Saccharomyces cerevisiae S288C: one gene and its partners. Changing the gene in region 3 together with the main gene of any one other region gives a genetic interaction. Each region holds a gene or a part of one and is shown on either strand. Other genes may lie near its edges.

The links.
Region 1: of SLX4 (region 3) and RAD9, a mutation in one rescues a mutant of the other (synthetic rescue), as found in Saccharomyces cerevisiae (4 studies listed by BioGRID, with this or other methods).
Region 2: mutations in SLX4 (region 3) and SAE2 impair growth when combined (synthetic growth defect), as found in Saccharomyces cerevisiae (3 studies listed by BioGRID, with this or other methods).
Region 4: mutations in SLX4 (region 3) and MMS1 together harm fitness more than expected from each alone (negative genetic interaction), as found in Saccharomyces cerevisiae (3 studies listed by BioGRID).

What each region holds. Positions count from the first base shown.
Region 1 is NC_001136.10:897,339-906,747, reverse strand, and holds RAD9 (chromatin-binding protein RAD9), read left to right. Parts: upstream 1-3,267; coding exon 3,268-7,197; downstream 7,198-9,409. Other genes in the region: MFB1 (Mfb1p), read left to right, coding at 1-1,293; septin SPR28, read left to right, coding at 1,696-2,967; DNA-binding transcription factor ADR1, read right to left, coding at 7,742-9,409. UniProt on the Saccharomyces cerevisiae protein: Essential for cell cycle arrest at the G2 stage following DNA damage by X-irradiation or inactivation of DNA ligase.
Region 2 is NC_001139.9:169,751-175,972, reverse strand, and holds SAE2 (ssDNA endodeoxyribonuclease SAE2), read left to right. Parts: upstream 1-1,650; coding exon 1,651-2,688; downstream 2,689-6,222. Other genes in the region: chromatin-binding exonuclease XRN1, read left to right, coding at 1-446; BUD13 (Bud13p), read right to left, coding at 628-1,428; YGL176C (uncharacterized protein), read left to right, coding at 2,894-4,558; MPT5 (Mpt5p), read right to left, coding at 5,402-6,222. UniProt on the Saccharomyces cerevisiae protein: Endonuclease that cooperates with the MRX complex in processing meiotic and mitotic double-strand breaks by allowing the endonucleolytic removal of SPO11 from the break sites and ensuring both resection and intrachromosomal association of the broken ends.
Region 3 is NC_001144.5:411,310-418,701, forward strand, and holds SLX4 (Slx4p), read left to right. Parts: upstream 1-1,971; coding exon 1,972-4,218; downstream 4,219-7,392. Other genes in the region: PDC5 (indolepyruvate decarboxylase 5), read left to right, coding at 1-1,105; TIS11 (Tis11p), read right to left, coding at 4,492-5,349; RKM5 (S-adenosylmethionine-dependent methyltransferase), read left to right, coding at 5,697-6,800; NHA1 (Nha1p), read left to right, coding at 7,128-7,392. UniProt on the Saccharomyces cerevisiae protein: Regulatory subunit that interacts with and increases the activity of different structure-specific endonucleases. Has several distinct roles in protecting genome stability by resolving diverse forms of deleterious DNA structures.
Region 4 is NC_001148.4:867,451-877,193, forward strand, and holds MMS1 (Mms1p), read left to right. Parts: upstream 1-3,252; coding exon 3,253-7,476; downstream 7,477-9,743. Other genes in the region: ORC4 (origin recognition complex subunit 4), read right to left, coding at 1-854; TIF3 (Tif3p), read right to left, coding at 1,195-2,505; Rho family GTPase RHO1, read left to right, coding at 7,918-8,547; mitochondrial 37S ribosomal protein uS14m MRP2, read right to left, coding at 8,832-9,179; MET16 (phosphoadenylyl-sulfate reductase (thioredoxin)), read right to left, coding at 9,397-9,743. UniProt on the Saccharomyces cerevisiae protein: Component of multiple cullin-RING-based E3 ubiquitin-protein ligase complexes (CRLs), which mediate the ubiquitination of target proteins. The CRL associates with CDC34 as the E2 ubiquitin-conjugating enzyme.

The DNA of each region.
Region 1 (9,409 bases), on a different chromosome or scaffold from region 3:
GATTTACAAAACATAGGGAAAACTTGCACCTTGCTAAGGATGCTGGCGAATGAGAACATTGTTTACAGAAATGCTGTTATCGGCTCAAACGGGAATATGTGGTGGACAAAAAATGTTCTTGTTGATGTCTTTGATGTTTTGAATTTTAATAGAAAGGCAATGAAAACCTTAAATAGTCACAACATATCCCTGGTCGCATCATTAAGAAATGTTCAGCGGAAATATAAACTAGGCGTTATTGATCCGGCTAGAAAGACAATAAGTTATAGAACAAATGAAGTTGAGAGCAAAGAAAAGGGCTCTGTGAAAGATTTAAATATGGATTTGAACGAACCTACAGAAATAACAAGGGAGCAAATCGCTCATACTGCAATACTACAAGGAATGAATCAATTCATCGAACTCAATGATAAAGCATTTAGGACCCATTCAGCGGATTCTGATGATACATACATAGAGGAGAATAATGGAGAAATACATTCTCTCCACGGATTGGAAAAAAATACAACATTTGAAGAAGACTTAGTCAAAAAGCCACCTTTTATCCCTTCTCCGACATTTTCTAATTATTCTAGAAGTTCAACAAATTCTGTATTTTCAAGTTCATCGCCCAAACTACTGGACGATGATTGGAATAATATTACAATGGATTTCACTAAGTCACGAGATCCTGATTATAAAGAGATGACGCCTACATCTACTGAATCGTCTGACTCAATCACAAGATTGAGAAAATCTAATAAAGTCAAGGATAAAGCCGAACTTTTTGAGAAGTTAATTTTTAGAGATAGCAGACCATTAAAAACAAAGAAAAAGGACAATCCAAGATTGAAATTATCCAGTTCGTTAAGTGCTAATGACGAAGATTTTAGGAAAATCATAAGTCCCCCTTCTGACATACTACCGAAAGTTGGCAGAAGGAGCGTCTCAAGAGGTTATTTAGAGGAGATTGAAAGGCATTATCCCGATTTTAACGGTGAAACAACTAATCCTCTAGCAATTAAAAGAGTCAACAGTACAAAGATAGCAAATTATGAACAATTAATTATAAAAGAAAATAGCTCGAACTGTAAAGGAATAACAGAGAAAAATGATGAAAATAAATTTCAAAGAAGTCACACTTCCCCAGTAATAGAATTATCCAAACCTCATCAAAGAAGCAAATTAAAGGCGGTTGTTACAGACGGTAATAAGATATGCTATCGCAAAATCGAATTGGATAACCCTAGTGGGTCGAATACGAATGATCATGTAATCAAACGGCTTGACGCTAATACCGATTTTAATATATAACAGAAAACGCCTCAAACCGACTTTGCTTGGAAGAGTTTTCTCTGAATTAGCAACGGAACTTCGAAATGGTTTTAGACAAGCATGCATGGTATGTAGAAACAGTTAAAGAGCGCCGCTACCATTTGCACAGATGTACATATAAATAAATGACTTATTTTTTATATTCTATCAATAATAAGACAATTTGTGGTTGCCTTTAGAAATTTCGTGGCTTTTTTTCATATATTCTAACTTCAATAAAGTTTTTTTGATGCGAAATTTGATCGCTCATATTAAGGACGCCTGAAAAAGACATGCGTCTACATTTTGTGTCATTCCCATAAGAATAGTAAGAACAGGCATTTTTATAAATCGATACAAAAAAAGAGCTACTATACGTACATAAAGTCAGTAAATAATCAAATGTTCCCAATGAAAGATCACTCAGCTCTTGAACAACATACTCTCAGCAGAGATGAGTTAAGACGTCGCAAGGGTTACAAGAAAGGACTGCAGTTGTCAATTTTGTTACTTGGAGAAAAAGGCAGCGGCAAATCAACGTTTTTAAACAATCTGTGCGGTCAGGATATATCGCTTTCTGATGGGGATTATGATGATGATGATGATAAAGTGACAAATAATGTAACACCAGAAAATGGAAACGCCATCGAAGATATAGATCCTGGATATAAAACAGCCCATTTGAGTCCTGGGCTGAAGCTTGTCACCAGAAGAGTGTATTTGAACGATGAACTAGGCGTACCCATAACATTAGATATCATATTGTTTCCAGGCTGCGGTGACAATGTCGACAATTCACAAAGCTCTGTTGTTATAAAAAACTACTTAGACCAACAGTTTGCAAATGTTTTAAAAGAAGAGGTCAGAATAAAGAGAAACACAAAAGAAACTGATGGGAGGCCTCATGTTTGTTTATACTTTCTGAAGAGTACTCCAAGAGGAGTCAAAAAATTTGATATTGAGTTAATGAAAACGATTTGTGATAAAGTTAATTTAATTCCCATTATTCCAAAAGCCGATGGTCTCACAGAAACTGAATTAAATTTACACAAAGACATTGTGCGCCAAGAAATCTCTCAGAACAATATACGTGTTTTTGATTTTAAAAGTGACACCCTAGGCGAAACATTAGCTCTGTACGATATGGACATCGATTCCAGTTCAGCAAAATCCAAATACGATAATGACACGAAGATCAAGGAAATATCGCCATTTGCCATTGTTTGCAGCAAAACTTTTAATAAAAATTCGGAAAATAGGGTTGAGCATATCAGAACGTACGAATGGGGTAGCTTGGTGGTCGAAGACCAAAACACCTCCGATTTTATATACTTAAAAGCAATACTGTTAGGTTCTCACCTTCAGGAATTAAAAGATGTAACAAACAACGTATTGTATGAAAATTATAGGGCTAAAGTGTTAACTGAGAAGAAAAACAACTATGATATTCCAAACTATAGCTATATCGACGAAACCTCAAGGGGAAGTGTCAGCAATGTTTCCACCAGAAGAAATAGTGCAAGTAGAACACTTGGGAATCCAGATACAAACGATGAAAATGCTTATCAAATACACAAAGAAATAGACGAAAAAAACAGAATTATTGAAGACTATCAAAGGAAGATTGATTTATTGGAGAAAATGTTGGCAGCTCCCCATCAAAATAAGGTCTAAATAAATATACGGCCTTGTTAGCGTTAGATACATATGAAATAAAATTTTATTGCTTTTTCAAGTGCACTAAAGTATAAGGCAAAATTTTTTTAATCTATAATATACTTTCTCGATGTGTCTCTATATAACCTTGTGTCTTTCTTATTACTGGCACGGCTTTGAATTTTCAGAGTGCAGTTCTGATTAAACACGCGAGGATTTTTGTTCGTGGATATTTGCAACGATGAGCAATGTGAAGTGAGCAAGATAGAGAAACGCCATAGAAAAGAGCATAGTGAGAAAATCTTCAACATCAGGGCTATGTCAGGCCAGTTAGTTCAATGGAAAAGCTCTCCAGATCGAGTCACCCAAAGCGCTATAAAGGAAGCACTGCATTCTCCCTTGGCTGATGGCGACATGAACGAAATGAATGTTCCCGTTGATCCGTTGGAAAACAAGGTAAATAGCACAAACATAATCGAAGGAAGTCCCAAAGCAAATCCAAATCCTGTCAAGTTTATGAATACAAGTGAGATATTTCAAAAATCTCTGGGATTACTTGACGAGAGTCCAAGACATGATGATGAGTTAAATATTGAAGTAGGAGATAATGATCGACCAAATGCTAACATATTGCATAATGAAAGGACTCCTGACCTTGACCGAATTGCTAACTTTTTCAAAAGCAATCGAACCCCTGGTAAAGAAAATCTTTTGACCAAATATCAAAGCTCCGATCTGGAAGACACTCCTCTGATGTTAAGAAAAAAAATGACTTTTCAAACTCCAACTGATCCATTGGAACAGAAAACCTTCAAAAAGTTGAAGTCAGATACTGGGTTTTGCTATTATGGAGAGCAGAATGATGGAGAAGAAAATGCGTCATTAGAAGTTACAGAGGCGGATGCCACTTTTGTACAGATGGCTGAACGTTCTGCTGATAATTATGACTGTGCATTGGAAGGAATTGTTACACCTAAAAGATATAAAGACGAATTAAGTAAAAGTGGAGGAATGCAAGATGAACGAGTTCAAAAAACTCAAATCATGATATCAGCAGAATCACCTAATTCGATAAGCTCTTATGACAAGAACAAAATTACCGGGAATGGCCGGACCACAAGAAATGTAAACAAGGTTTTTAACAATAACGAAGATAACATAGGAGCTATCGAGGAAAAAAATCCAGTAAAAAAGAAAAGTGAGAACTATTCATCAGATGATCTCAGAGAACGGAACAATCAAATAATACAAAGTAATGAATCAGAGGAGATTAACGAATTGGAAAAGAATCTGAATGTTTCGGGTAGAGAGAATGACGTGAACAATTTAGATATCGATATTAATAGTGCTGTGTCTGGCACCCCTTCACGCAACAATGCGGAAGAAGAAATGTATTCCAGTGAGAGTGTAAACAATCGGGAACCATCCAAGAAGTGGATATTCCGATACTCAAAAGACAAAACGGAAAATAATAGCAATAGATCTACGCAAATAGTCAATAATCCAAGAACACAGGAAATGCCTTTAGATAGTATTTCAATCGATACGCAACCCTTATCTAAAAGTTTCAATACCGAAACAAATAATGAATTAGAGACACAGATAATTGTTTCATCGCTTTCCCAAGGCATATCTGCTCAGAAGGGACCTGTTTTTCATTCTACTGGCCAGACAGAAGAAATAAAAACCCAAATAATAAATTCTCCTGAACAAAATGCTTTGAATGCAACCTTTGAAACTCCCGTTACTCTTTCTCGGATTAATTTTGAACCCATATTGGAAGTTCCTGAGACTAGTTCACCATCTAAGAATACGATGTCAAAACCCTCGAATTCTTCACCTATTCCGAAGGAAAAAGATACATTTAATATACACGAGAGAGAAGTAGAGACAAACAATGTTTTTTCAAACGATATACAAAATTCTTCAAATGCAGCTACCAGAGATGACATTATCATAGCCGGTTCATCTGATTTCAACGAACAAAAGGAAATAACCGATAGAATATACTTACAACTTTCAGGAAAGCAAATATCTGATTCAGGAAGTGATGAAACAGAACGTATGTCCCCAAATGAGCTTGATACGAAAAAGGAAAGTACAATCATGAGCGAGGTTGAACTAACCCAAGAACTGCCTGAAGTTGAAGAGCAGCAAGATCTTCAAACGTCTCCAAAAAAGCTGGTAGTCGAGGAAGAAACTTTAATGGAGATAAAAAAAAGCAAGGGGAACTCACTTCAGCTTCATGATGATAATAAAGAATGCAATTCAGATAAACAAGATGGCACAGAGTCTTTGGATGTAGCTTTGATTGAACACGAAAGCAAAGGACAGAGCTCAGAACTTCAGAAAAACCTCATGCAATTATTTCCAAGTGAGTCACAGGAGATTATTCAGAACCGAAGAACAATAAAGCGACGTCAAAAAGATACAATAGAGATCGGTGAAGAGGAGGAGAACAGAAGCACTAAGACATCACCGACAAAACACCTCAAAAGAAATTCAGATTTGGATGCTGCTTCTATCAAAAGGGAACCGTCTTGCAGCATTACCATACAAACAGGGGAGACAGGTTCGGGCAAAGACTCTAAAGAACAGTCTTACGTGTTTCCTGAAGGTATTAGAACGGCAGATAATAGTTTCTTATCGAAAGACGACATAATTTTTGGAAATGCGGTATGGTGTCAGTATACGTGGAATTACAAATTTTATCCGGGTATTTTATTGGAAGTTGACACTAATCAAGATGGCTGTTGGATTTATTTCGAAACAGGAAGATCGCTAACCAAAGATGAGGACATCTACTACTTAGATATTAGAATAGGGGATGCTGTTACCTTTGATGGAAATGAGTACGTAGTCGTTGGTCTAGAATGTCGTAGCCATGATCTCAACATAATAAGATGTATTCGAGGATATGATACGGTTCATTTGAAAAAAAAAAATGCAAGCGGATTGTTGGGGAAAAGGACGTTAATTAAAGCACTAAGCTCGATCAGTCTTGACCTAAGCGAGTGGGCTAAAAGAGCGAAGATCATATTAGAAGATAATGAGAAAAATAAAGGCGACGCGTATAGGTACTTGAGACATCCCATTAGGGGAAGGAAATCAATGACCAATGTTCTGTCTCCGAAGAAACATACTGATGACGAAAAGGACATAAATACGCATACTGAAGTGTACAATAACGAAATAGAATCGAGCTCCGAAAAGAAGGAAATTGTTAAAAAGGATTCTAGAGACGCATTAGCTGAACATGCAGGAGCGCCAAGCCTGCTTTTTTCTTCTGGTGAAATCAGAACAGGGAATGTATTTGATAAATGTATTTTTGTTTTGACAAGCCTATTCGAAAATAGAGAGGAACTTCGACAGACCATTGAATCGCAAGGCGGCACTGTAATTGAGTCAGGATTTTCCACTTTATTTAACTTCACTCATCCGCTAGCTAAATCTTTAGTCAATAAAGGTAATACAGATAATATTCGAGAATTGGCCTTGAAGCTAGCCTGGAAACCTCATTCCCTATTTGCAGACTGCAGATTTGCTTGCCTAATCACAAAACGGCATTTAAGAAGCTTAAAGTACTTAGAAACTTTGGCGTTGGGGTGGCCTACACTACACTGGAAATTCATAAGTGCATGCATTGAAAAGAAAAGAATAGTACCACATTTAATATACCAATACCTATTACCTTCGGGTGAAAGTTTTCGGTTATCGTTAGATTCTCCATCAAAGGGAGGAATCATTAAATCCAACAATATTTTTTCATTTTATACACAATTCTTACGCGGATCTAATTTAAGAGATCAGATATGTGGAGTGAAGAAAATGTTAAATGACTACATTGTTATTGTTTGGGGTAGATCTGAGTTGGACAGTTTTGTCAAATTTGCTTTTGCATGTTTGAGCGCAGGTAGAATGCTTACAATTGATTTACCCAATATTGATGTAGATGATACAGAGCCATTGTTAAATGCCTTAGATTCTTTAGTACCCAGAATAGGATCAGAATTATCTAATCGAAAGTTAAAGTTTCTCATATATGCTAACGAAAATAATGGTAAATCTCAGATGAAGCTTCTCGAAAGATTGAGAAGTCAAATATCACTGAAATTTAAGAAATTTAATTACATATTTCACACTGAATCTAAAGAATGGCTAATTCAGACAATAATTAACGAGGACACTGGTTTTCACGATGATATTACGGACAATGATATATACAACACTATTTCTGAGGTTAGATGAAATTATAAAAATATATAAACTCATAATTGATAGAAAGGGACGATTAAATAAAAAAAAATTTAGAGATTCTTAATTAAGTCTAAGAACATCCTCCCACACGCCAGGAGTGGTTAATGTTCAAGATTGGTATTAGTTATACACGGTAACCAACAACGTTGGTAAGGTCTTTTTCTTCTATACATGAATTTTAAGATCAAGCATATATTTTAGGCTTGCATCTTGTAATGAACTAACTTTCATAAATAGCTTTTCTTTTTTGTATGAGGTATAAGATGAAAAATGTTAAACATGATACAGGATTTAATATAAAATGGACCAAAATAAGGAGCAATAACGAGATTCACCCCAATGGGTGAGATGAGAAACGCCAAGGTAGTGAAATATTTTTGTGCAACAATTTCAAAGATAAGATCGGTGTTCTCCCGCAGTAGTCCACTTCAGTCGCATGCATGGCTGTTTGATGAGAAATAAAATGAGATATTCAAAATCTCATCAGAAAGAGTTGAGTACTGGGACGACACATATCAGCAACGAGACATAATCGTCAACTGTTTCCCTTTAGATGATTTTCCAAAGTGTGGAAATCACTTGCCATCTTATCTAACATGTGACAATGAATGTAGTTTTCTTTAACATTGGTGAAAAATAACTTGGCAATAGTAACATATTTCAGAGATAATTGGTACTTTTCGGCAAATCCTTGCCCCTTTCCACCATTTTTATGTTTTGATGAATGATTTTCCCCGTAACGTAAAAGATTCAAAGTAGAAACAGTTTGATGCGAATCATTTAAGCCGCTGAAGTTAATACCTTCTAGGCCGGTATCCGATAGGAAATGTGCTGAACGAGGCAAGTCTGTCACTGCCCTGTCCCCATTATCAAAGGAAAATTCATTTCGAATAGGATCCTCCATATTCAAAAAAGAGGTATCGTTAAAAGAGTTAACTAGGATTTCATTAATAAACATTGCAAGCCCTTCAACATTGATCTTTTTGGCTAACTTAGTCTTAACAGCTGCACTTGCACCATTATGGTGTTCATTTGCGGATAAACCAGGGACAAGCATACCATTATCTTTATTTATAAATTGTTGCGTAAATACAACATCAGGAAATCCAGAAAACTCTTGCGGATACAATCTTGAAAGTGTGGGAAGTAAAATAGAATTCGCAAGGCTTCTCAACTCAATAAAAATTCTCAGTAACTTAAAATTTGGAGTTGCTTCAAAATCCAATAAAAATTTGATAATTAGGATGAAGCAATAGTAATAGCCTTGTAAATTGAAGACAGAAAGCGCTTGATTATTCAGGTGGATCCTTGGCAGCTCTGGAGAATTCATTCTTTGGGAGCAATCACTTTCTTCTTCTACGTATAAAGACGAAATATTACGGATTGAAAAGTTCAACGCTACTAAAAATTCACACAATACTTCAACTGAATAATTCTTCAAAAAATTCAACCTCACAGAGTTCAAAAAGGAATCATATATCTTTGCTATTTGTCCTTTTCTAACCTTCTCAGTAAACGAGCGATCAATCTGTTTGATGAATCTCATTGACATTAAATTATTTTTCAAAATTATGGTGTCATCAATTAAGATCGCAATATTTTTATTGGTTGCTGCCATATTATCATTGCCATAGGAAGAAGTGTCAAGACTCCTCTCTAGCCTTTTCGTATCGATTCGATCCAAAAACACATGTGATTTGGTTCCTTTTCTTAAATCGTATTCATAATAAATCATAGATGACCCTAAAAATTCTGGTATTGAGTGTAAGTGTCCATACGTGAAACTGTAATAAAAGTTTCTAAAATCATAAAAATTTTGCTTTTGCACAACATGCCCATTACATATTATCGATTCACTGGCCCATTTTGACTCATTGTCGGGAATATAAATGGTTTCAACATCTTTTTCCTTTATAGACAAATCGAATTTAATATGGAAGAAACATTTCAAGAACTGACAAAAATCATAAGCCATTAAGGTGCATCTAATTTTTGACTCAAAAATGATGTATTGAAGAGGAGAACCAAATGTTAAAGGTTCATTGTTATTATTGATACTCTTCTCAGAATTTGCAGAAATTGTCGGTAAACAGTTTGATCTGATCGTTGAACATAATGCGGACAATTGCCTTTTCATCAAAGAGGAGTCAATTTTCTCCAAATAATCAGCAACTAGAGCGAACATGAAGCTCAATATTAGGGA
Region 2 (6,222 bases), on a different chromosome or scaffold from region 3:
TGGTTGGGGGTCCTATTCCTGGAGCGAATGATGTTGCAGATGTTGGTTTGCCGTACAATATTCCCCCAGGTTTTATGACGCATCCTAATGGTCTTCACCCATTACACCCTCACCAGATGCCTTACCCTAATATGAATGGAATGTCTATTCCGCCACCAGCACCACATGGGTTTGGACAACCGATTTCCTTCCCACCTCCACCTCCTATGACAAATGTTTCAGATCAAGGAAGTCGTATTGTTGTCAATGAAAAGGAAAGCCAAGATTTGAAAAAATTCATTAATGGTAAACAGCACAGCAATGGTTCAACTATTGGGGGAGAAACAAAGAACAGTAGGAAAGGCGAGATTAAACCTTCTTCTGGCACAAACTCTACTGAATGTCAATCGCCAAAGTCACAAAGCAATGCTGCTGACCGTGATAATAAAAAAGACGAATCTACTTAGAACATACGACTAAAAACGAAGTATATTCGAGGTTACTTTAATAGTATATCTGAGACCTATATAAAGAGGGGTATTTGTATTTAATCGTTGATCTTGTTAAGAAAAAGCTTATAACAAATGGGGATTGTCAAAGGGTATTTTTTACACAAAGCTTTCCGCATAGTTATATATTATCTCATTTTCAATAATCCTCCTGTAGGGTGTAGCTTTGCACTTTCTTCTCATTGATCTCATTTTGCTTAGCAAACCATTTTTCTTCAAAGCCATTTGATCTGTGGACACCGTCCCATCTTGACCCAGGCATAATGGCAAACCTGTTCTCAGGTGCTGGCTTATCATAAAGCTTGCGGCCCAGTAAAGATGTTTTTACAGTTCTTTCTTTGTCATGTGTAAATGTTATTGCAGGGTCTTCTATCGTCAGACTCGAGGCAGTTTGATTTTTCTTCTTATCATGTGCATCTACATTTATTCCAAGCTTTTGCACGTCTCCCATATTCAAATTTTTCAGGTATTGCTCTCTTTCCGCGGCTTTCTCATCTTCATATTTAGATCGACTAAAACTAGAATCGTCTATCTTGGAATCTTCCTGAATCTTGTGACCTTGAGCGTCTCTGTATATGGTTTTTCGTGTTTTCGATTTGTCTGCTACTGTGACAAGTGGCTCTTGAGCCCTGATTTCCTTTAGATCGTTCTTGCTTTCGTTGCCAGTAATTGACGATGCGGAAGGATGTGTTATTGCATGGGAAAGCTCGTTTGTTTCCAGGTTCTTCCATATATTCTTGCTTTTTTGTTTGTCAAACTTGCTGAATGAAGCAACTCCTGACTTCTCCTGTTCTTGTTGCAGTGTACTTAGCCGTTCTTTTACTATCAAAGAAGTTTTGTCTGAGTTAGCGTCTGATTTTGACTCTTTCTTCTTCTTTTTCGTCTTATTTTTGGGTTTCGTGGGCCCATAAGTCTCTGATAAATACTGATGCAATGCCATGTAATAAACGTCCTGTTGTTATCTTCCACCATTCGAGTCTTGAGAACAACTTTCAAAATCAAGTCAAATAGCCATTTTCTTTATGCCATTTTCTAAGCGCGTTCTACAAAAAAAAAGCTTTTAAGCTTTAATACCTTTTTTGTTTACGTTTGCAAACATTGTTATCGTTCACATACCTGCATTTCCATCCATGCTGTAAGCCATTAGGTGTTTGTATGTGAGATGGTGACTGGTGAAGAAAATGTGTATCTAAAGTCAAGCTTATCCATTCTCAAGGAGCTCAGTCTCGATGAACTACTAAATGTGCAGTATGACGTGACTACCTTAATCGCGAAACGTGTTCAAGCACTGCAAAATCGGAATAAATGTGTTCTCGAAGAACCTAACAGTAAACTGGCTGAAATTCTATGTCACGAAAAAAATGCTCCTCAACAATCCTCTCAGACGTCTGCGGGGCCAGGTGAGCAAGATTCTGAAGATTTCATCCTTACTCAGTTTGATGAGGACATAAAGAAAGAATCAGCAGAGGTTCACTATCGTAATGAAAATAAACACACTGTGCAGTTACCGCTGGTTACTATGCCACCTAATAGGCATAAACGGAAAATTTCGGAGTTTAGTTCGCCTTTAAATGGCCTCAACAACTTAAGCGATTTGGAAGATTGCTCTGATACTGTAATCCACGAAAAAGATAATGATAAAGAGAACAAAACAAGAAAACTATTGGGAATAGAGCTCGAGAACCCTGAATCTACATCGCCAAATTTATACAAAAATGTTAAGGATAATTTCCTGTTTGACTTCAATACGAACCCTTTAACAAAGCGAGCCTGGATTCTCGAAGACTTTAGACCAAATGAAGATATCGCCCCGGTTAAGAGAGGAAGAAGAAAATTGGAGCGATTTTATGCCCAAGTTGGAAAGCCAGAGGATTCTAAACACAGATCATTGTCAGTAGTTATAGAATCGCAAAATTCGGACTACGAATTTGCGTTTGATAACTTGAGGAATAGATCAAAATCCCCCCCAGGTTTTGGAAGACTGGATTTTCCCTCCACTCAGGAAGGGAACGAGGACAAAAAGAAATCCCAGGAAATCATCAGAAGAAAGACAAAATATAGGTTTTTAATGGCAAGCAATAACAAGATCCCACCGTACGAGAGAGAATATGTATTCAAAAGAGAACAATTAAATCAAATTGTTGACGATGGATGTTTCTTCTGGAGTGATAAATTATTGCAGATATATGCTAGATGTTAAACGCCAGCGATCATCATTCTTTATTCATTACTTCAAATACATTTTTTTTGGTATGGTTGAAAGGGCTTTTTTCCTCGTTGGCATATGGGAAAAACTGAAAAATAAAAAAAGGCAATGAGATGAACAACAATGGAAAACAAAAAAGGGCGAATAAATAAGCAGCAGTTGGTAAAGCAGAAAGGGGAAGTTAACGGACGTTAAACAAATGACACCTAACTTACCAGGGTTTTATTATGATAGAGAACGTCGACGTTATTTTCGCATATCTGAAAATCAAAGCATTTCTACCACGGGAACGACGAACCAGTACAGAAAAGATAATATAAAGCGACAATGTGTTGAGGAAAATTACGATAAAAAATTTTCTATGATTAAAAAAAAACGTCAGCAAACATTACAAAAGTACAAGCTTAGTCTTCTGAATCCGTTGGAAAGGGCTTTTCGCCCTTTATCATATGAAAAGTACATGATTGGTTTAAATATGCAGTATGCATCGCATTCTCTCACTGAAGGTCATCACTCACATAGTTCTGCTAACGTAAAATCACTCAATTTTCCACACAGGATACAGATAGGAGTATTAGCAAATTGTATTTTATTGGTAACTCAAGAAGGATGTTTTCATAGTAAATTAGTATTTGCAACAAACAAGGGCTATGTCGCAGGATTTTCATCCCTGGATAATTTTTCTGAAGAAAATTTCTTTACGGGGTTTTCCATGGCTGAATTAAATCCTATGTTGAAATATAAGTCCGAGCCAACTGATGTGTTCAAAACAATGAAACTTGAGAGAACAGTTGCCATCAAGGAAGGGCCGAGCCATTATTTTTATCACAACGTTAATACCAGATCTAACGTGCATACTTTTGCCATCTTTTTACAAGACTTTTCTTCCTTAAAACTGCTCAAAATTCGTCAGGTCAAACTCAAAGAAAATTGCCAAGTCCATGATTCTCTTGTTGTTGGAGACACGTTGATTATTACCGTAAATTATCGTTGTCATTTTTATGATTTGATTCCAGAAACCTTTCCAAATCCCTATATCTTTTCTCCTGCCAAAAGCTCAAGAAAACACAAAAGTAGGAGTGACATTACTTCCCTATCATTTTGTCTACAAGAAGATGCTTTATCACCTTTAAAAAAAACGAACACCGGTGTGTTTTATTTAGGTTACAGAAATGGTGATTCAATGGCAATAGTCTTCACTAATATTACAAACATGACATTACAGTACTCCAAGACCAACGGTATGACATCAGAAAGTCGAAATCAACCTATCAGAAATTCCCTAAAATCTGTTGTTTCCATAAAAGCATTGAATAATAAAGGCCTAATACTTATATCTGGAATGGCAGACAAAGAGAATGTGCAACAACTGGTTATAGCAGATACGTTCCTGGAGGACATTCTGACCGAAATCCCGGTTGTATCTTTTAAAACTAAGTTCTTAAACGTGACTAAGGATACAGAAATACTCGAGATATCGGATGACGGGCGCTACTTCATTTATGGTTCAACTAGCGCTAGGGACGGAAAGGGTGATTTTGAAGTATTTTGTACCACTTTATCTGGAAATCTTGACTACGAAAAATCCGAAGGTGGAAATATCACCCTCTATCCAATAGGAGGTATGAAGAACTACTGTAGGTTAGAAAACTTCCAGTTTGAATCTATCCACCTACATTCGGCTTTCATACCCCCAAGGTACGTAAATCCGTTTGATGCTGTGGAACCTCTAGGTGAAGAGAGCAGTACTTCACCTTACGATATACCTGAAGAAGCACTTTCTCAAAAAATATGCATCTTAATTCGGAGAGAAGATGATCCCTACAATGGGGCCAATATCTTCATAACATCTGCTTTGACCTAGTTTAGCCCACCGAGATTTTTGCTTTATAAATATTTTAGCATACTTTGCATTCATATACATATTCATATGTATAAATATTCTTTAAATTTTAACGCCGACTTCGAACTAATTAGCAGTCAAAACCCAAATGTAATGACCTTATGGTGTTATAGCATAATTCTTCTTGGTGTACAATTCCATTCTGAATAGTTCAACGATTTTAGATATAGTTAGATATGATATTATAATAAAATATACAAATATGTATCATTGTTAGTACAAGTTAAACCTAAATATAATAAAGCCAACCAAGACAGGAACCAGTAGAAAAATTTATACAAATGACAAAGAAAAACAAACGGTATTTTCCTATTTATTAAAAATGCTTGAGCGAATGGATATTTTAACACATTAGTGTCCTAAAGGACAATTGGATTTGAAAATAAAATGACAGTAATAGACAAAAAGAAAACTGAATGAATGAATGGACGTATGGATTGCTTAATGAATGAATGAATTAAATAATAGTTGGGCGTAAGTTCAGAAGATGAGGAATTTAAAACAAAAATAATCGTTGACAAAAAACGATTCAAAAAAAAATTAGATCATTTTGGTAGGGAGCAATGCTAACCCTGCAAAGGCAGTGGGAGGATTTTGGATACGTGTTCGGAAACAGAATACAAAATATAAAGATGGCAATAGTTTGCTTTACCATTTTTTTCCGGCTCAAATTTTGGGACTTTAGTAGGACGTCATTGCTTAGTTGAATTTTTTATTTTTTATTTTTTATTTTTCTTTTGTCTTTGATTTCTGCGTAAAATATTTGTACAGTAAGAAGGAAAGAAAAAGAAAGAAAAAAAAGTATTATGGCAAAGTGAATTGAAGTTCATCAGATGTTCTAGCGGTATTCATGGCAGGCATATTGGAAATACTAGCGTTGCGGCTCATATTAACTTGATTATATGGGCCTTGACCAATATGCTGCGACTTCATTGACAAACTTGAATCCCAGTTTGCACCTTCCGTTTGATATTGCATACGAGGCACAAAAGATTCATTGAAGTTTTGACTATTTGCATTAGAGTATGGCGAGAAGTGATTAGCATTAATTTTGTCGGTTTCATTCATCATAAATCCAGGCTGCTTAAATCCCCTTGAAACATTAGGATTCACATTGGTAATGTTAGATGATGAGAACGAATGGATTGGTGCAGCAGAATTAGGATGTGCCATTAAATTTGCAAACTGGCGGTTGTCGAAGTTTTGTAACGAGTTATGGCTTACCAATGGTGGGTTAGTTTGAGAATTGAAAGAAGGTGCTCCCATCGAGGGATATGCGTTTTGGTTGAAGTTCATAATTTGTTGCGGAGAGTGAATTTTCTGATCTTGTGCATATTGGTTTGAGAAATTATTGGTTACAGAGCTGTTACTTCTTCTATGGTAAGCATTAGCTGGTAAAGAAAAATGACGGGTATGACTCTTTTGATTATTATTGTTATTATTATTGTGAGCATGGTTATGATTATGATTATGATTATGATTATGACTATTTTTGTTATGGGGGTTCTTATTTTCGTTGTTAATCGTTTGAAGATTGTTATGACTCATTGCAGTGACTTGAGGAGATATGTCAGTGAATGGTATACCTGTGGCTTCTGCATAAGCTTTAACTTTCAACTTAATTT
Region 3 (7,392 bases):
TGAAGCTGAAGTTGTTAGAACTGTTGTTGAATTGATCAAGGATGCTAAGAACCCAGTTATCTTGGCTGATGCTTGTGCTTCTAGACATGATGTCAAGGCTGAAACTAAGAAGTTGATGGACTTGACTCAATTCCCAGTTTACGTCACCCCAATGGGTAAGGGTGCTATTGACGAACAACACCCAAGATACGGTGGTGTTTACGTTGGTACCTTGTCTAGACCAGAAGTTAAGAAGGCTGTAGAATCTGCTGATTTGATATTGTCTATCGGTGCTTTGTTGTCTGATTTCAATACCGGTTCTTTCTCTTACTCCTACAAGACCAAAAATATCGTTGAATTCCACTCTGACCACATCAAGATCAGAAACGCCACCTTCCCAGGTGTTCAAATGAAATTTGCCTTGCAAAAATTGTTGGATGCTATTCCAGAAGTCGTCAAGGACTACAAACCTGTTGCTGTCCCAGCTAGAGTTCCAATTACCAAGTCTACTCCAGCTAACACTCCAATGAAGCAAGAATGGATGTGGAACCATTTGGGTAACTTCTTGAGAGAAGGTGATATTGTTATTGCTGAAACCGGTACTTCCGCCTTCGGTATTAACCAAACTACTTTCCCAACAGATGTATACGCTATCGTCCAAGTCTTGTGGGGTTCCATTGGTTTCACAGTCGGCGCTCTATTGGGTGCTACTATGGCCGCTGAAGAACTTGATCCAAAGAAGAGAGTTATTTTATTCATTGGTGACGGTTCTCTACAATTGACTGTTCAAGAAATCTCTACCATGATTAGATGGGGTTTGAAGCCATACATTTTTGTCTTGAATAACAACGGTTACACCATTGAAAAATTGATTCACGGTCCTCATGCCGAATATAATGAAATTCAAGGTTGGGACCACTTGGCCTTATTGCCAACTTTTGGTGCTAGAAACTACGAAACCCACAGAGTTGCTACCACTGGTGAATGGGAAAAGTTGACTCAAGACAAGGACTTCCAAGACAACTCTAAGATTAGAATGATTGAAGTTATGTTGCCAGTCTTTGATGCTCCACAAAACTTGGTTAAACAAGCTCAATTGACTGCCGCTACTAACGCTAAACAATAAGCTAATTAACATAAAACTCATGATTCAACGTTTGTGTATTTTTTTACTTTTGAAGGTTATAGATGTTTAGGTAAATAATTGGCATAGATATAGTTTTAGTATAATAAATTTCTGATTTGGTTTAAAATATCAACTATTTTTTTTCACATATGTTCTTGTAATTACTTTTCTGTCCTGTCTTCCAGGTTAAAGATTAGCTTCTAATATTTTAGGTGGTTTATTATTTAATTTTATGCTGATTAATTTATTTACTTTCGTATTCGGTTTTGTACCTTTAGCTATGATCTTAGCTAATTGAAGAGGGTGGTGTGATCTTTAACCATACCTTATTATCTTTCAGCTGCTTACCATTTTCTTATATTGATTTTTAGCGAAAGATTTTTATTCACAAGCTTTTTTTATCCTTAATGCTCGAATACTACAACAAAACAAAAAACATTAAACAGTTTTTAATTTTGTGAACAAACTGAATTACAAGGCCTTACATCTTATTTAGAATATATTAAGAAACAGAGGCCAACATGCCTTCTTAATTATATTGATATGGACCTCTGTCCTTCCTAAAAACGGGTTTTTGTTCGATGAAAAATCACCAGTAGAGCACCATATATGAATTTACAATCATTGTAGGGAAAAGAAAACTTGTTCTGCTTCGCCAATTGATTTCATTTCTTTTTTTCCTTTGTTTTTGTTGTATACTATTAATATGCGTAGTTCTTTGTCACTTAGTGGTTTTTTGTTTAATTTATAACGCGAAAGCTGCATACTAAAAATATAGAGATGAATGGAACTCCGAACAAGCAAGAGAGATATTATCTATCTCTGTTCCATAATAATAACCAGTAGTTCAGTTGGGGAACTTAATAATGGAACTTCAGAGGGCACAACGGAATTTGAAGTTTTTACAAAACGAGGATTATGTGAACGTTACCGATCAAACTAACCTGAATGGAGAGAGCCAGAATGCTTACTCTTTAGGAATGGAAACTCAAGTACCGGAAATGCAGTTTTCCTTATCATCTGATGATGATTCAATAGGTACGCAAGTAAAAAGCGTAACTGCACAAAAATCGCCTATGACGCAAGAGACTACGAAAAACGATACAGAAAGAAATAAAGATGTTGATAAAAGTTGTAACCCAGTCAGCACTTCCCATCCCGATTTAGGCGGATCAAATATCGAGGAGAACATATTCATTAACACTCAAATTCAAAGCCGACTTGATGACGCAGAGGAAGAAACAAATCTTAAGTTAAAACTTGAAAAATTCAAGTATTCGTTCAAGAGTAGTAACGCAGATGATACCCACAGCAATGCAAATGTAACAGCTAAAAGAAGACCAGCAATAAGGAAGGCTAATTCGAAACTCAAAACAAAACCTAAAACTAAACGAGACCCTAAAATTATCAAAAATATAACTGATTTCAATATTAATAACTACGAACGTTCAAGGACTGCCAGCTTATTAAAGCAATTATCAGGTAAGCACAAGAAGGTTTTGGACATAATAAAGACGCAAAATGAAGGAAACAGTGATAAACCTCCCAGAGCAAGGAATAACAAGGGTGAAAAAGCTACTTTTGATACATATAGTGAACAGGAGTGGAAAGATATTATGAAACTTCTTCTACAAAAGTTTCCGCAAAGTGAGGAAACGGATTTGAATGAAGTCCAGAAATTTTTATATGGAAGCGAAAAAAGCTCGAATTCTCTAGACAATCAAGAATCCTCACAACAAAGACTTTGGACAGCATCACAATTACCACCCGAGCTTCCCGATGAGGCTATTCAACCAGAGCAGGAAGAAAGGATACGCGATACCCAAAGTGCAGTAAATTTCTTATCGTTGTCTCAAGTAATGGATGACAAAAGTGAAATTATGAAAGACGAAGAAAGCATAATTATTTCACGGGGAGATTCTACAAGCTCTCAAGAATATGGAAACGGGTTAGAGCCACAACAACCGGTAGGAAATGTTGTTGGTGAAGATATTGAACTGGCTGTGGGAACACGTATAAATGCATTTTCACTGACAGATTATAAAGCTTGCAAACCTATGTCTGTTGAGGTAAGTAGAAGATGCGAAAACAGTACGGATAATGATTATGACAATATTTCTATTGTCTCAGATACTACAGATGAGACATCCACATTGTTTCCACTAGACCAGTATCGGTATGTTTTCATTGAAAATGATGAAAGACCACCATTAGCCACCGACACGATAGGCAGCACACAGTTTTTCACTCCAAACACATCGCCTTTGGATGGGATAATCGATTTAACACAGGAATCATTCAAAGCTGTTCGATCGTTAATATCACCTTTGAAAGTAGAAAACAACAAAACAGGGGTAACATCACAAGCATCAAATCAGGTTCAGGTACCAGCTACAAGAACCCCTACAATTATTCCTCAAAAGAACCTTACTACAACTTTAAAAACTGAAGAAGAAAAGAATAACATAGGAAGTTCCATCAGAGTTAAATTATTGCAAGAAAGCGTAGTTAAGCTAAACCCCAAACTGGTGAAACATAACTTTTATAGAGTTGAGGCAAATGATTCTGAAGAAGAGGAGACAGAATTTGATGACCAATTCTGCATTGCTGATATCCAATTGGTAGATTCCTCCAAAATTTCGACTAAAGATTCTACACAAAATCCTACTACTAGCAACGACATTATTGATACCTCTGCAGCTAGTTCCATAGCTTCTCCCGAGAAATTTTGTGAGATCATGATGTCCCAATCAATGAAAGAGCTTCGACAAAGCTTGAAAACAGTGGGGTTGAAACCTATGAGGACGAAGGTTGAAATCATTCAATCCTTACAAACTGCATCTCAAATTCTGTCCACAGCTAATCCAGATAATAAAGGTGAGCATGGTGGGGTGGCAAATTTCAGTAAGATAGAAATATTTGATCATTTAACCGAACTAATTGAAGCCTTCCCTGATTTTTTGGAGCGAATATATACCTTTGAACCCATTCCGCTAAATGAGCTAATTGAAAAGCTGTTCAGCGCCGAGCCATTTGTTTCGCAAATCGACGAAATGACCATCAGAGAATGGGCCGATGTTCAAGGAATATGTCTGAGAAACGATAAAAAGTAGTGCCGAATGATTGAGAATTTGACAAAACAAAAACAAAACAAAACAAACGTTACGTATAGATGAAGAATACACGTACACAAATATGCATATATACCGTCATGAAGTAGCTTAACTTAAATAAAAGTTTTTTTTTTTTAGAGTTACCAATATCGCAAACATGAAAATGAGAATAAAAAAAAAAAAGCAGAAAAAAAAAAAGCATAACATGGAGAAAAAAATAATAAATAATTGAGTTTAGTTGAGACGCCGGTCTTCGCCAGGCCAGGAATTGTTTCACCAGGTCATTCTCTGCAAAGCCTTTACTTTAACATTTAGATTCTTCTTCTTGGCGGAGCCGCGACCATTGCTTCTCTTTTCGTCTGATTGTTTGCTAGTCGAAGAGACGTTACAGTAAGTACCAGCTTTCACGTAAACAGCAATGTCGTTGTCGTCGCCATGTTTGAAGCAGCATCTTCTGCCATAAGGACAATAACCTAGTTTCTCCCAATTCACACAGGGCTTCGTCCTGAAATTCTTGCACGATTTCTTAACCTTTAATTCGCCGAGTCCGTGAGCAAACTGACACTTACTGCCATAAGGGCAACTTCCTTTTAAAGTGAATGATTCGCACAGCTCTGTCTTGTATAATTGTTTGGGAGTTTCCTGCACTTGGCTTTTCACCTTAGGTTGAGCTGAGGATTCCTTCTCTGATGAAAAAGAAGCATCATTTTTGGGCTTTTGTTGAGACAACTGTTGCAAATTCTGTGAAGTTAATGGTAATTGTGAAGATTTTGGGACATAGTCCGGATTTATTTGTACCTCTAGTTTCTTTTTAAAAGTAGTAGGTGCCGTGCTATTCAGGTGAGCGGATGGGAGAAAAGGGTTCATTAACTGTGGATCATACAGTAGCCCCGGTTGAATAGCGTTTGTATTTTTTGGTGGAGAGAATGAAACTGCCGAAGATATTTCACTGCTTGTTTCCTGTATGTTATCCTCGTTTAAAATCGTCTTGTTGTAATACTCCTCCAGTTCCCTAATATTGATCTGGTACTGGTAGTCATTTAATGGATTTTGCTCTTGATCTGTGGAAAACAACGACGTTAAGTCAGTCTTCTGAGATTCTGGTCTAGTATATGATAATTGAGCCCACATATTGCGTTATTTTTTACGTATTGAGTTTGCAGCACTGTTTCGCTTTCTCTCAAGATGCACAAATACGACCTACCAAGAGCCTCCAAGTCCCACCAACGATTATGTCTTCTCTCAAATATATATACAAGTTACATGTAGAGAAATCGAGACGAGATTGCTGGCACAATGCACCCAACTGCATGTGCCATTGTGCATCTACACCTCCAAATTAGGGTGTCGATTGGCGTCGTCTTCTTTAATGTGGGTGCATTTTGCGGCGGCGCGACAAATATAGAGAACTGACCAAGGCAGTGCTGTCAAGAAGAGAGAATGGTTACGGCAGCGAAGACGCAAATGGGCTAGGCAGAATGGCATTCAAGTTATGGCTACTGGATGAGGAAACAATATACGAGCACGTGTTCGAACGGTACACACAATTGGAGGGCCAGTCCGGGAAACTGGCGCAGGATTTGGGTATTCAGGATAGAAGGGGCGGTGTGCTAGAGATAACGTTTGAACCCTCTGGGCTGGAAGGCGGCAGAAAAAAAAAGCGAGTGAGAAGAAGAAATAAGGCTAGTAGTGTTGAAGAAGATCAGAATGTTGCTGTGGATAGCTATCATGTTAGCGTGGGGCAGTCCATATCAAGCTTGCGCTCGTCCAGAGACAACGGAAACTCCACCACAGGATACGTTTTGTGGTCTACCACACCTTTCTTCATCAACTGGCTGCTGTATAGTACTAGCGCTGCACCTTTCCGTCTTGGGAGTCAGGTGGAAGTAACCTGCGGGTCTTCTTGCGAGGGGCACAAGCTTGAGTTGCCCAGGCTGGTCGACCTCACGGGCGCTGATCGCGGCAAGAGAGGTATCTTGGAACTTGGAGCAGGAATATCAGGTATTTTGCCCGTGATTCTTGGTAACTTCGTCGACACCTACGTGTCGACAGATCAGAAGGGCATTCTTAATAAATTAAAAGATAACATCATGGAAAACTTATCACAGTTGACCAGAAAGCGGTGCATTTCCCGATCACTAAGATTGGAACTTCCCACCGTCGAACCAGTTGGCGACGCTGATATCACCGCAGCGTCACTTCCATCTAAGTCTACGTTGCATTTGGAAGTAGCCGCTCTAGACTGGGAGAAGATAAACTTGCAAGACAAAAAGACCCACTCTCTGCATCCTGAGTTGTCACTCATAGGTGAAACATGTTCTTCCGTGTACGTTATAGCTATGGATGTCATATACAACGAGTACCTGATAGATCCGTTTCTGAAGACGCTCAAGCAACTCAAACACTGGTTACAAACTACCTACAATTTGCAATTCCATGTCCTCGTGGGGATACACTTGCGGTCACAAGAGGTGACAACACTGTTCTTGGAGAAAGCCATCATAGAATATGACTTCACGGTTTATGATATCGTTGACCAGGTCATACAAGAGTCCCGTTTTAACTTTTATCTTATCACCTAGTCCCATATATAATAATAGAAACAATATAATGCTGATAATCTTATTTTTCTTTGCGATGCGGCAGTGCCTCTTCCCCTCCGTACGGATTGGGAAGATTTTCATTTTTGATTAGCAAGGGCACTAAGCCAACTCTGTGTGATATAGCTAATAATCTAAAAGCTGCTGGATCCGTTATCGTCAAGATAAAGCGGACTTAGCGATTTACATAGGATCACACTTTCTACACACATTTGATTTTTAAGCTTCATTTTCCACTGCACTTATTTTTCCCAAGCATCGTGTTTTTTTGTACATTATAAAAAAAAATCCTGAACTTAGCTAGATATTATGGCTATCTGGGAGCAACTAGAAGTCTCAAAGGCGCACGTTGCTTATGCATGTGTTGGTGTCTTTTCATCTATCTTCTCTTTAGTGTCACTTTATGTCAAGGAGAAGCTTTATATTGGTGAGTCCACCGTAGCAGGTATATTTGGGCTAATTGTGGGTCCTGTTTGCTTGAACTGGTTTAATCCTCTGAAATGGGGGAATTCAGACAGTATAACATTAGAGATAACGAGAATAGTATTATGTTTGCAAATTTTTGCCGTTGCCG
Region 4 (9,743 bases), on a different chromosome or scaffold from region 3:
ACCATATCGTCTAGATTCTGTATTTGCGGCATATAAATCACTCTTTGAGAAAATCTACTCTTTACCCTCTTTTCTAAATATTCCAAGATATTTAATTTCGTTGTGCAGCCAAAAATGCAAACAGGTACCCGAGAATGTTCTACCATGTCAAAAAGATTGTATAATAAAGTTTGCCTCACAGGCCCAGCAAATGTATCAATTTCATCGAATATAAAAACAACTGTTATCTTTGTTATACTCTCTCTGTCAACCTCACCACTATCTTCATTTCTTGTCTTCGTGGTCGAATCTAAGAGTAAAAGAATTTTCTCAAACACTTCTGTCAAAGAACCACTGCTAATAGTCTCTAATGAAGTATCGTCAATTTTTTCTTCACTGCCATGAATTTTCTGCAACTGCTGTTCCAATTGAGTTGCTATACCGTTAATAGCTGTTTGTTCGGAGTGAATAAACCCATTCAACCTGATAGTTATAAACTGCTCTTTATAAGATTGTTGCAACAAAGACAGTTCATAGTCTAATAAGTATGTTTTGTAACTTTGTCTGGGCCCCACGAGAATTACTGAATGACTCTCTTTCTGAATAATGGATTGTTTAATGATTCTATCGATCTCTTGTTGACAATCTTGTAAATATGTGAAGATTATCTTTTCGTCCGTAGGAAGTGTGCCATAAAGTTGCTGCAGTAACCTTCTTTGAAGGGAACCAAAACCAGGGTCGCTGTCTTTACACTTTTCATTATCTATAGTACGCTTTTTTAGAATCGCTGCAGTCTCCTCTACCTCTTCGTTTGAGTGCCTCTTTATTGGGAGAAGATTGACTTGCGGTGATAGACGAGCTTCGCTTATAGTCATGCTTCTTCTTTTGAATATTACCGATATTAGTAGTTTATATTTGATATTTCTATCAGTATTATTTAGATTTTTTTTTTTTTTTTAATTGTTAATGCTTTTTCTTAGAACTTTCCAAAAACGAAAGGAAAATGGGACATTCAAAAACTTACCTCACATAGAAAAATGATAAATCCAAAAATACACTTGAACACATGTATGAAACTTAATACAAAATATATGGTTATTTTTTTTTTAATTATATAATAGAGTTAGAATACCTGGTAGAAAGGAGAGTAGAAAAACAAGAAAGAAAAAAAGCAAACAGTAAATACAAATGTACATTTTATCATCATACAACACTCTATTTCTTACCAACAACTTCCCAATTGTCACCATCTTCAACAGTCAATTGAGCAGTTTTATCCTGTAGCTTTTCAACTGCCGCATCAACTTTGTTTTCTTTTGCGTCTCCATTTTGCTTTTCAGCCTCTTCATCTTCATCATCATCTTCAGTACGTAAAACATCATAAACAGACTTCTGGATTTTTGGTTGCTCATCAGTAGTCTTTTTGTTAGTTAGAGACCTATCCTTGTAGGTATTTTTGGTTTGTTGAGGCTTACCAAACTGAGCACCTCTGGCAGCACCCCAATCCAAAGCTGGTTCTTCCTTTTCTCTTTCTCTTCTTGGTGGTCTTGAGGAGCTTTGGAAGTTGGAACCTCTGGCTGCACTCCAGTCAATATCTGGCTCTTCTCTTTCTCTTCTTGGTGGCCTCGAGGAGCTTTGAAAGTTAGAGCCTCTAGCTGCACTCCAGTCAATATCTGGCTCTTCTCTTTCTCTTCTTGGTGGTCTGGAAGAGCCTTGGAAATTGGAGCCTCTTGCAGCGCTCCAGTCGATATCAACTTCTTCTCTTTCTCTTCTTGGTGGTCTGGAAGAGCCTTGGAAATTGGAACCTCTTGCAGCAGTCCAGTCAATATCAACTTCTTCTCTTTCTCTTCTTGGACCTCTGAAGTTAGAACCTCTAGCGGCACCCCAATCAAGATCTGGTGCATCTTCTCTTCCATCACCTTGGAAATTGGAGCCTCTAGCACTACTCCAATCAACATCTGCACCTCCCCCTCTTCTTGGAGCCGCAACAGAAACGTAAACAGTTCTCTCATTCAATTTAGTACCGTTGAACTTCAGAACGGCGACCAAATCTGCTCTTTCTTTCAAAGTAACGAAAGCATTACCCTTTAATCTTGTTGGGTCTCTTAGATTCTTTGGCAAAACAACTTCTTCAACCGCTTCAGGCTTAACTAAACCATCTTCAACCCAGGCTTGAACACCCTCTGGGGTAATATCCCATGGAATGTTGTTTATGACAGCCCTATATGGTGGAGCATCTGGAACAGGGTATTCCTCTCTTCTATCGGAAGAACCGCCCCCCAAAGCAGGGTCTAATCTAGATCTACCTCCAAAACTGCCACCAAAGCCGCCTGAACGCGTGTTATTGCTGTTGTTTTTAGCATGAGCCAATTCGGACAATGGAATAGTGTTTGCATTAGCGGTTTCAATAGGAATTGTGATCTTATTCAAATCGACATCTTCTTCAGCCCAAGATGAACCAAAGGTGTCATCATTTAAAAATGACGTAAGGTCCATCTTCTTTACGGTTTTCTTTGGTGGAGCCATGATGTGTCCTTTTTATTATGGTATTATTTTCCTAAAGACAGATGAAAGCTAATATAAACTCGAGTTTTATGATAATCCCGCTTATTGGTCTACTGATCTTCTCTAACTCTGTAGTTATATCTATCTCTTCTGCTTCTATTTCTGCTTTTCTTTAGCGATGCTGATTTCCGCAAAAAAATTTTCATTCCGTGGTGCGTGATCTGATGAGAAATAAAGCCAAAAAGAAAAAAAGACAAGAAGACAAAAAGGTTGGGCGGCTAAGTAGCGCCAGGATATAAAAAGCAACATAGATTTCAGTACCCTATTATCCTGCCAAAATTTACTTTAAGAAGTCTCTATGAATATACAGGCTAAATTTGGAAACATGAGAAAGGAAAGATGAAGATACAAAGATTGCAAGCAGTCAAGAAGATTTAGGAAAAAAGGAAAAAGCAAAAAATATCGATTTTTATGACTTACAAACTAAATTGATATGTTCGAAATAATTTTGAGAAGCTGAGCTCAATCTGGTACTAATCACTTCAAGTTAGATGTGCAAAGAAAGAGAATAGCATAAATTCAAAACCAAAGGAAGTGCGAGGCATTACCCGCATATTATCGGGAAACAGAAGCCATGTTAGAGTGATTTCCAACAAATGGCCCTTTGCCAGAGATGGGCTCTGCAAAAGAATTGGAAGAAGAGAAGAAATCGCTTCACATTCCGTTTCGTTTCTGGGTCTAATTAAAGTAGTACGGTGTCAATTAGGTATGCTAGGTTTGCGAACTCATGGTTTAGACAGGTATGAACATTATATTCGTCGCCCGTCGGATTTTGGCAAACTTGAGCTGCAAGATTGGTTGAATCATAAGTCATTCCGAGTTTCCCCCAATTTATTAATTGATTCAAGCACCACACGTGAGTGGAATGAACCTGAGCTTTTTTATCAAAATACCGAGGATGAAACTTGGGTGAGACCTTGTGTAGGGCCAAAGCTAGAACCATCAATGATGATGCTCAGATATCACGATTCGAATATTGGTCAAATGCCTCAATTTTGTTATCCAATCTCAAGTCCGATAAATTTTAAACCAGTATTAAAATACATTTTGCAAGAACGTTCTGAACTGTCAGACGGCTTCCCTCAAAAGTATAACACACTAATAGGTAGTCTTTTTGACATTGATAAAAACCCAGAAACCTTAGATGATTCAGATATAGAAGCATTGGATGACATAGAAATGAGCAGTGACAGCGGTAATGTTAAAGAACCAAAAATTGAATTGCAGGCGCTGGAAGAAATCCAACAAAAGCATTTCAGTTTAATAGTATCCAACAATGGAATCTTTCAAACAGGTAGCACTTCAATAACATACATACAGTCTGGCATATCTGGCAGCATAGCTATAAAACCCAACAACGTTGCAATTTTAATATTACTCACTCAACCAAGTGGTCACTTATTGTCTATTTTACCGCTTGATGACGGTAAAGAGACATATTTGCTACAATATTGGAACCTGGGACAAAAAGGTCAGTGGAACATAATCAAGCACCAAAACGAGAAGCAGTTTGTTCTTATACATAAGGAACTAGGCATTTGCAAATTTTTTGAATTCCATTTACCATTTACTTTTCAATTAGTAAACAATTTAACATTGACCGATTCCGTGATTATGAACGGATCCTTTTTCCCAACAAATTACACTGATTTAGATCCCTATTTCATTATATTTATAACAGCCATAAGATATGAAAGGATAGTCTACTTTGTCATAGAATGGAACAACAACGAAATAAAGAAAAAAGAGGTATATCAATTGACAGTATTTGATGGTGAGAAGACTAATATGACAATACCCATTGGACTAAATGCATGTTTAGTCGAAACACCCCTAAAGTTCTCTTTAGTTTCTGCAAATCAAATTATGTCAGGAGAGACTGAATTCCACTCATTCCAATTGAAGGCTCTCAAGGGAATCAAGTCATTTTTTCCAGCTCCTTTATTGTTATTAAAATTACAAGAACTACACCCACATACATTTAAAAAATTCCAATATTGTACCATAATATCCTCCTCGACAGGAAATATTTGTTTTTGCGTCACCGAACGATCGACAATAGTAAATGGTAATTTAAAATTTTACGAGCTAACTAGGTTCAAAGGATTGAAATCCATTTCACCACTACCTTCAAATCCGATAAATTTAGACTCCAGATCCTCAAGTTATGTACTGGTGGTCATAAGTTTTAGTAGAACATTAGAGCTAACATTATCTCTAGAAGATTTGAGATGTTTAGATAAAAAAGACGTTATTAAGCCTTTGAAAAATATCACCTTCAAGCACACAATTGATAGTTCCACAGAGGAGAACTCTCAAATTTTAGCATTTACGTCTTCTAAATTTTATAACACACACACAGGCTCTAACATCAATGACACGAGAAATTCTCAAGTTTGGCTTACCTCACCAAATGCAATAACTCAACCTTGCATTGATTATAAACTCAGGAAAACTCATCAACTTATCCACTTAAAGCAATTTCAAATTTTTAGACATCTTAGGATATGGAAATGTAAGAACCTTGATATTGCTCTGTTACAGAGACTTGGAATAAACCAGTCAAATACCGAAAGTTCGTTAATTTTTGCGACCGACGCTGTTTCTAACAACAGAATATTTTTATTAGATTTAACTATGACAACGACAATCGATAATGATGATCCCGTTCAAGGACTGATAAATATAGAAGATTTACTATGTGATACTGAAAACGAAACTATCCTTCTAAATTTTACGAAAAATAACTTGATTCAAGTAACTAGGGATACGATATACATCGATCCCATTGGTGGGGACAAAGAGTTGCGTAAGATTTCTCCAGGTTGGGAATTCGAAAACGTTACATACAATGATGGTATTTTAATAGTTTGGAATGCTGGGCTTGGCTGTGTCTCTTATATTGAAAATATAGACGCTGTTGATGAGTCTGGCGCCTTAGTTTCAAACTTAAGCAGCAGCAAAGGCATGAGCAAGTTCTTCAAGCAGTTAGGAACTGTCACGAGTGTCAATTTTCAAATCAAAGAGTCTACAGATGATCCAACCAAGTATGACATTTGGATCCTTTTACCAGACTGTGTCATTCGTACACCCTTTTCTGACTGGATTAGTGATTCACTTGATTTTTCTGATGTGTATATTTTGAGTGTTCAGCAGGCGTTAATAAACGGCCCTTATTTTTGCTCTCTCGATTATGAATCATATTTTGAGGTGCACACTTTACAGAACAACTGCTTCAAAAAAGGATCCAGATGTACAAGCAGAGTTAATTTTCAAGGGAAAGATATTAAATTTAGAAGCTTTGGTGTGAATCAATGTTTGGCATTTAGTGCATTTGAAATTTTTGTCATCAATTTAACGCCAATTCACGACAGTAGAGAATTGGATTTTTACAAGCTAAAATTACCGCACCTAGGTAATAACAATTCAATTCTTGAAGTCTGTCCGGACATAGAAAACAACCAATTATTCATACTCTACTCTGATGGCTTAAGAATCCTCGAACTATCATACCTAACATCAAATAATGGAAATTTCTTATTAAAATCTACAAGAAGCAAAAATAAGAAATTTTTATATCTAGACAAAATAAATCGAATGCTGGTATTGAATCAGGACTTGAGGGAATGGGAGTGTATTAGACTATCAGATGGTAAGGCAGTTGGTTTAGATTCTCAACTTCTTAAGGATGATTCTGAAGAAATCCTAGAAATAAAGGAATTACCAATAGCAACAGAGGACAATCCTTTAGAAAAGAAAACTGTATTATTGATCTCTTTTACTAGCTCATTAAAACTAGTTTTATTAACTGCTGCAAAAAACAAAATTTCCAATCAAATAATAGATTCGTATAAACTTGACAATTCAAGACTCCTCAATCATTTGGTCATTACTCCCAGAGGTGAAATATTCTTTCTGGATTATAAAGTTATGGGCACCGATAACGAAATGTCCTTTAACAAGTTGAAAGTCACAAAACATTGCATTGACCAGGAGGAGAGAAATAATACGACTTTGCGGCTCACTTTGGAAACCCGGTTTACATTTAAGAGTTGGAGTACAGTTAAGACGTTTACTGTAGTAGGCGATAATATCATTGCTACCACAAATATGGGCGAAAAGCTCTACTTGATTAAGGATTTCTCTTCATCATCTGACGAATCGAGAAGGGTGTATCCCTTGGAAATGTATCCTGATTCAAAAGTTCAAAAGATAATACCATTAAATGAATGCTGCTTTGTTGTTGCCGCTTACTGTGGAAATAGGAACGATTTAGATTCAAGATTAATTTTTTACTCTTTACCCACCATCAAAGTTGGGCTTAATAACGAAACAGGCAGCCTACCAGATGAATATGGGAATGGGAGAGTCGACGACATATTCGAGGTTGACTTTCCTGAAGGATTTCAATTTGGCACTATGGCTTTGTATGATGTTTTACATGGTGAGAGGCACGTAAATCGTTACAGCGAAGGCATACGGTCGGAGAATGACGAAGCAGAGGTTGCCCTAAGGCAGCGTAGAAATTTACTACTCTTTTGGCGAAACCACTCTTCTACACCAAAACCTTCACTACGCCGAGCCGCCACTATAGTATATGAGGATCATGTATCATCCCGTTATTTTGAGGATATAAGTTCTATATTAGGAAGCACTGCAATGAGAACTAAAAGACTATCTCCCTATAATGCGGTAGCATTGGACAAGCCTATTCAAGATATTAGTTACGATCCCGCAGTACAAACTTTATATGTGCTAATGGCAGATCAAACAATTCACAAATTCGGCAAGGACAGGTTGCCTTGCCAGGACGAATACGAACCAAGATGGAATTCTGGCTATTTGGTTTCAAGAAGGTCAATAGTTAAATCTGACCTCATCTGTGAGGTTGGGTTATGGAACCTTAGCGATAACTGCAAGAACACAGTATAATTCCCTCATTTCCAATAACATTGTCGCTGATAAAATCGTGATTCTCGATCAATGTGCTACGCGTCGTGCAGCGTGACAAGGGGCTAAAAAAAGATACAAGAATTCTTGTTGTTTCCAATTTGCTTCGCCTCAGAAAAAAAAATAAACAGATTATACAATTTTTGTTTGATTTGTATTGGGTACTACATGTTTTAGTAGTTGATACAAATACTTCTTTATCCTAATCGTATATATTTATTTTACCAGCAGGAATTCGTCTTTAATATCGTTTCGACCATCGATCATTCCTCTGAGTATTGCAAAAACATTTTTGGAACAACCCAAACTTAAAGTTACAAAACTCAAAAAAGGAACAAAATTAATAAAACAAAAGAATCGCTGTTAGAGGTTTATTGTTGCACTAATAGAAAATCATAGAACTTTAAAAATTATACTAGAAAGATGTCACAACAAGTTGGTAACAGTATCAGAAGAAAGCTGGTAATCGTTGGTGATGGTGCCTGTGGTAAGACATGTTTATTAATCGTCTTTTCCAAGGGCCAATTTCCAGAAGTCTACGTACCAACTGTCTTTGAAAACTATGTAGCAGATGTTGAAGTTGATGGGCGTCGTGTAGAGCTAGCGCTATGGGATACCGCTGGTCAAGAAGATTATGATAGACTAAGACCATTGTCATACCCAGACTCCAATGTCGTATTAATTTGTTTCTCTATCGATCTTCCAGATTCTTTAGAGAATGTACAAGAAAAATGGATTGCCGAAGTATTACATTTCTGTCAAGGTGTGCCAATTATTCTTGTTGGTTGTAAAGTGGATTTGAGAAACGACCCACAAACCATTGAACAATTAAGACAAGAAGGTCAACAACCCGTTACATCACAGGAGGGACAATCTGTAGCAGACCAGATTGGCGCAACCGGATACTACGAATGTTCGGCCAAGACTGGTTATGGTGTCAGAGAAGTGTTTGAGGCCGCCACTAGAGCTTCATTGATGGGTAAATCTAAAACGAATGGTAAAGCTAAGAAGAACACTACTGAAAAGAAGAAGAAGAAGTGTGTCTTGTTATAGGAGTGTCTCGATCTCTCAGTCGTTAACTTAGTGGCAGATACTGCCCTTTTTCAATCCCATTCCTTTTCTCATTGTATGTACGTATGCCTTTTTTTGTTATTTTAGCTCTAACTATAGCTACTTGTTTTTCTCCCAGTATGTGTATAATCTTATTCTTCTCTACATATAAGTGTATTGCTCAGTAAGTATTATCATCTATTAAAGAAGAATAAAAATTATCATGTATTTATTTACAAGTGCGTATCCTATATATATATATATATATACTTTCGCGATAAAATTTTTTACCAAATACCCTTCTTAACACCTGGCAAATTACCCTTCAGAGCGTTTTCTCTAAATTGATACCTACACAACCTAAAATCACTTAGAACAAATCTTGCATGTCCAGAGTCCACGCACCTATTTTTGATCTGCGTAGATCTCATGTAGTTTGGCAATGCATTTAGTTTTAACTGAGCCTCCAACCTCAGTTTTGTTGGAAGGTTCATATTTCTAGCGATGAATTTCAAAGATTTAACAAGGATTTCATTCTCTTTAAATTGTTGTCTTTTGAAGTTATCCCTAAGTATGCGAGCATTGATAAACCCTGGTGGTAGCTTGGTTTTTATAGGAAATCTGAAATTACCCATCGGTTAATGTATATATTTGTCAGTTTACCTTTTCTTTCGTTTTTCCTTTCAATCCTCTTTATCGCAGTTTGGTTCTTAGTTTGAATATTCCTCTGTTTTCGCTCTTTTCTCGTACAGCGCGAATTCTCCGCCAGCTTTAGAAAGTTGTAATCATTGGTGTTATTAAGGAATAAATAATTAGTCACATACATATGGTTATATATCGTACTCTATCTATCTAGGCATCTTGCTTTAAAAATTGCGCGAATCGGCTGGCTTCATGAATTCCACACTCGGTCTTGGCCTTGCCCTTCCATCTTCCTGCTCTCTCATCTTCACCTTCCTTGACGGGTTGTGTGGAATGGTAATCACCAATGGATCTATATCCAAGGTCCAAAAGTTCGTTGTATGGTACATTGTTTGCATCTATATACTGTTTAACCTGCTCGAACGTCCAATTGATCAATGGATTTATTTTTAAGATTCCATTAAGTTCGTCTATTTCAATAATCGACAGTTGGGAGCGGGCAGAACCTTGTGATTTTCTTCTACCAGTAAACACAGCACTTATATGTAGCTCTTTGT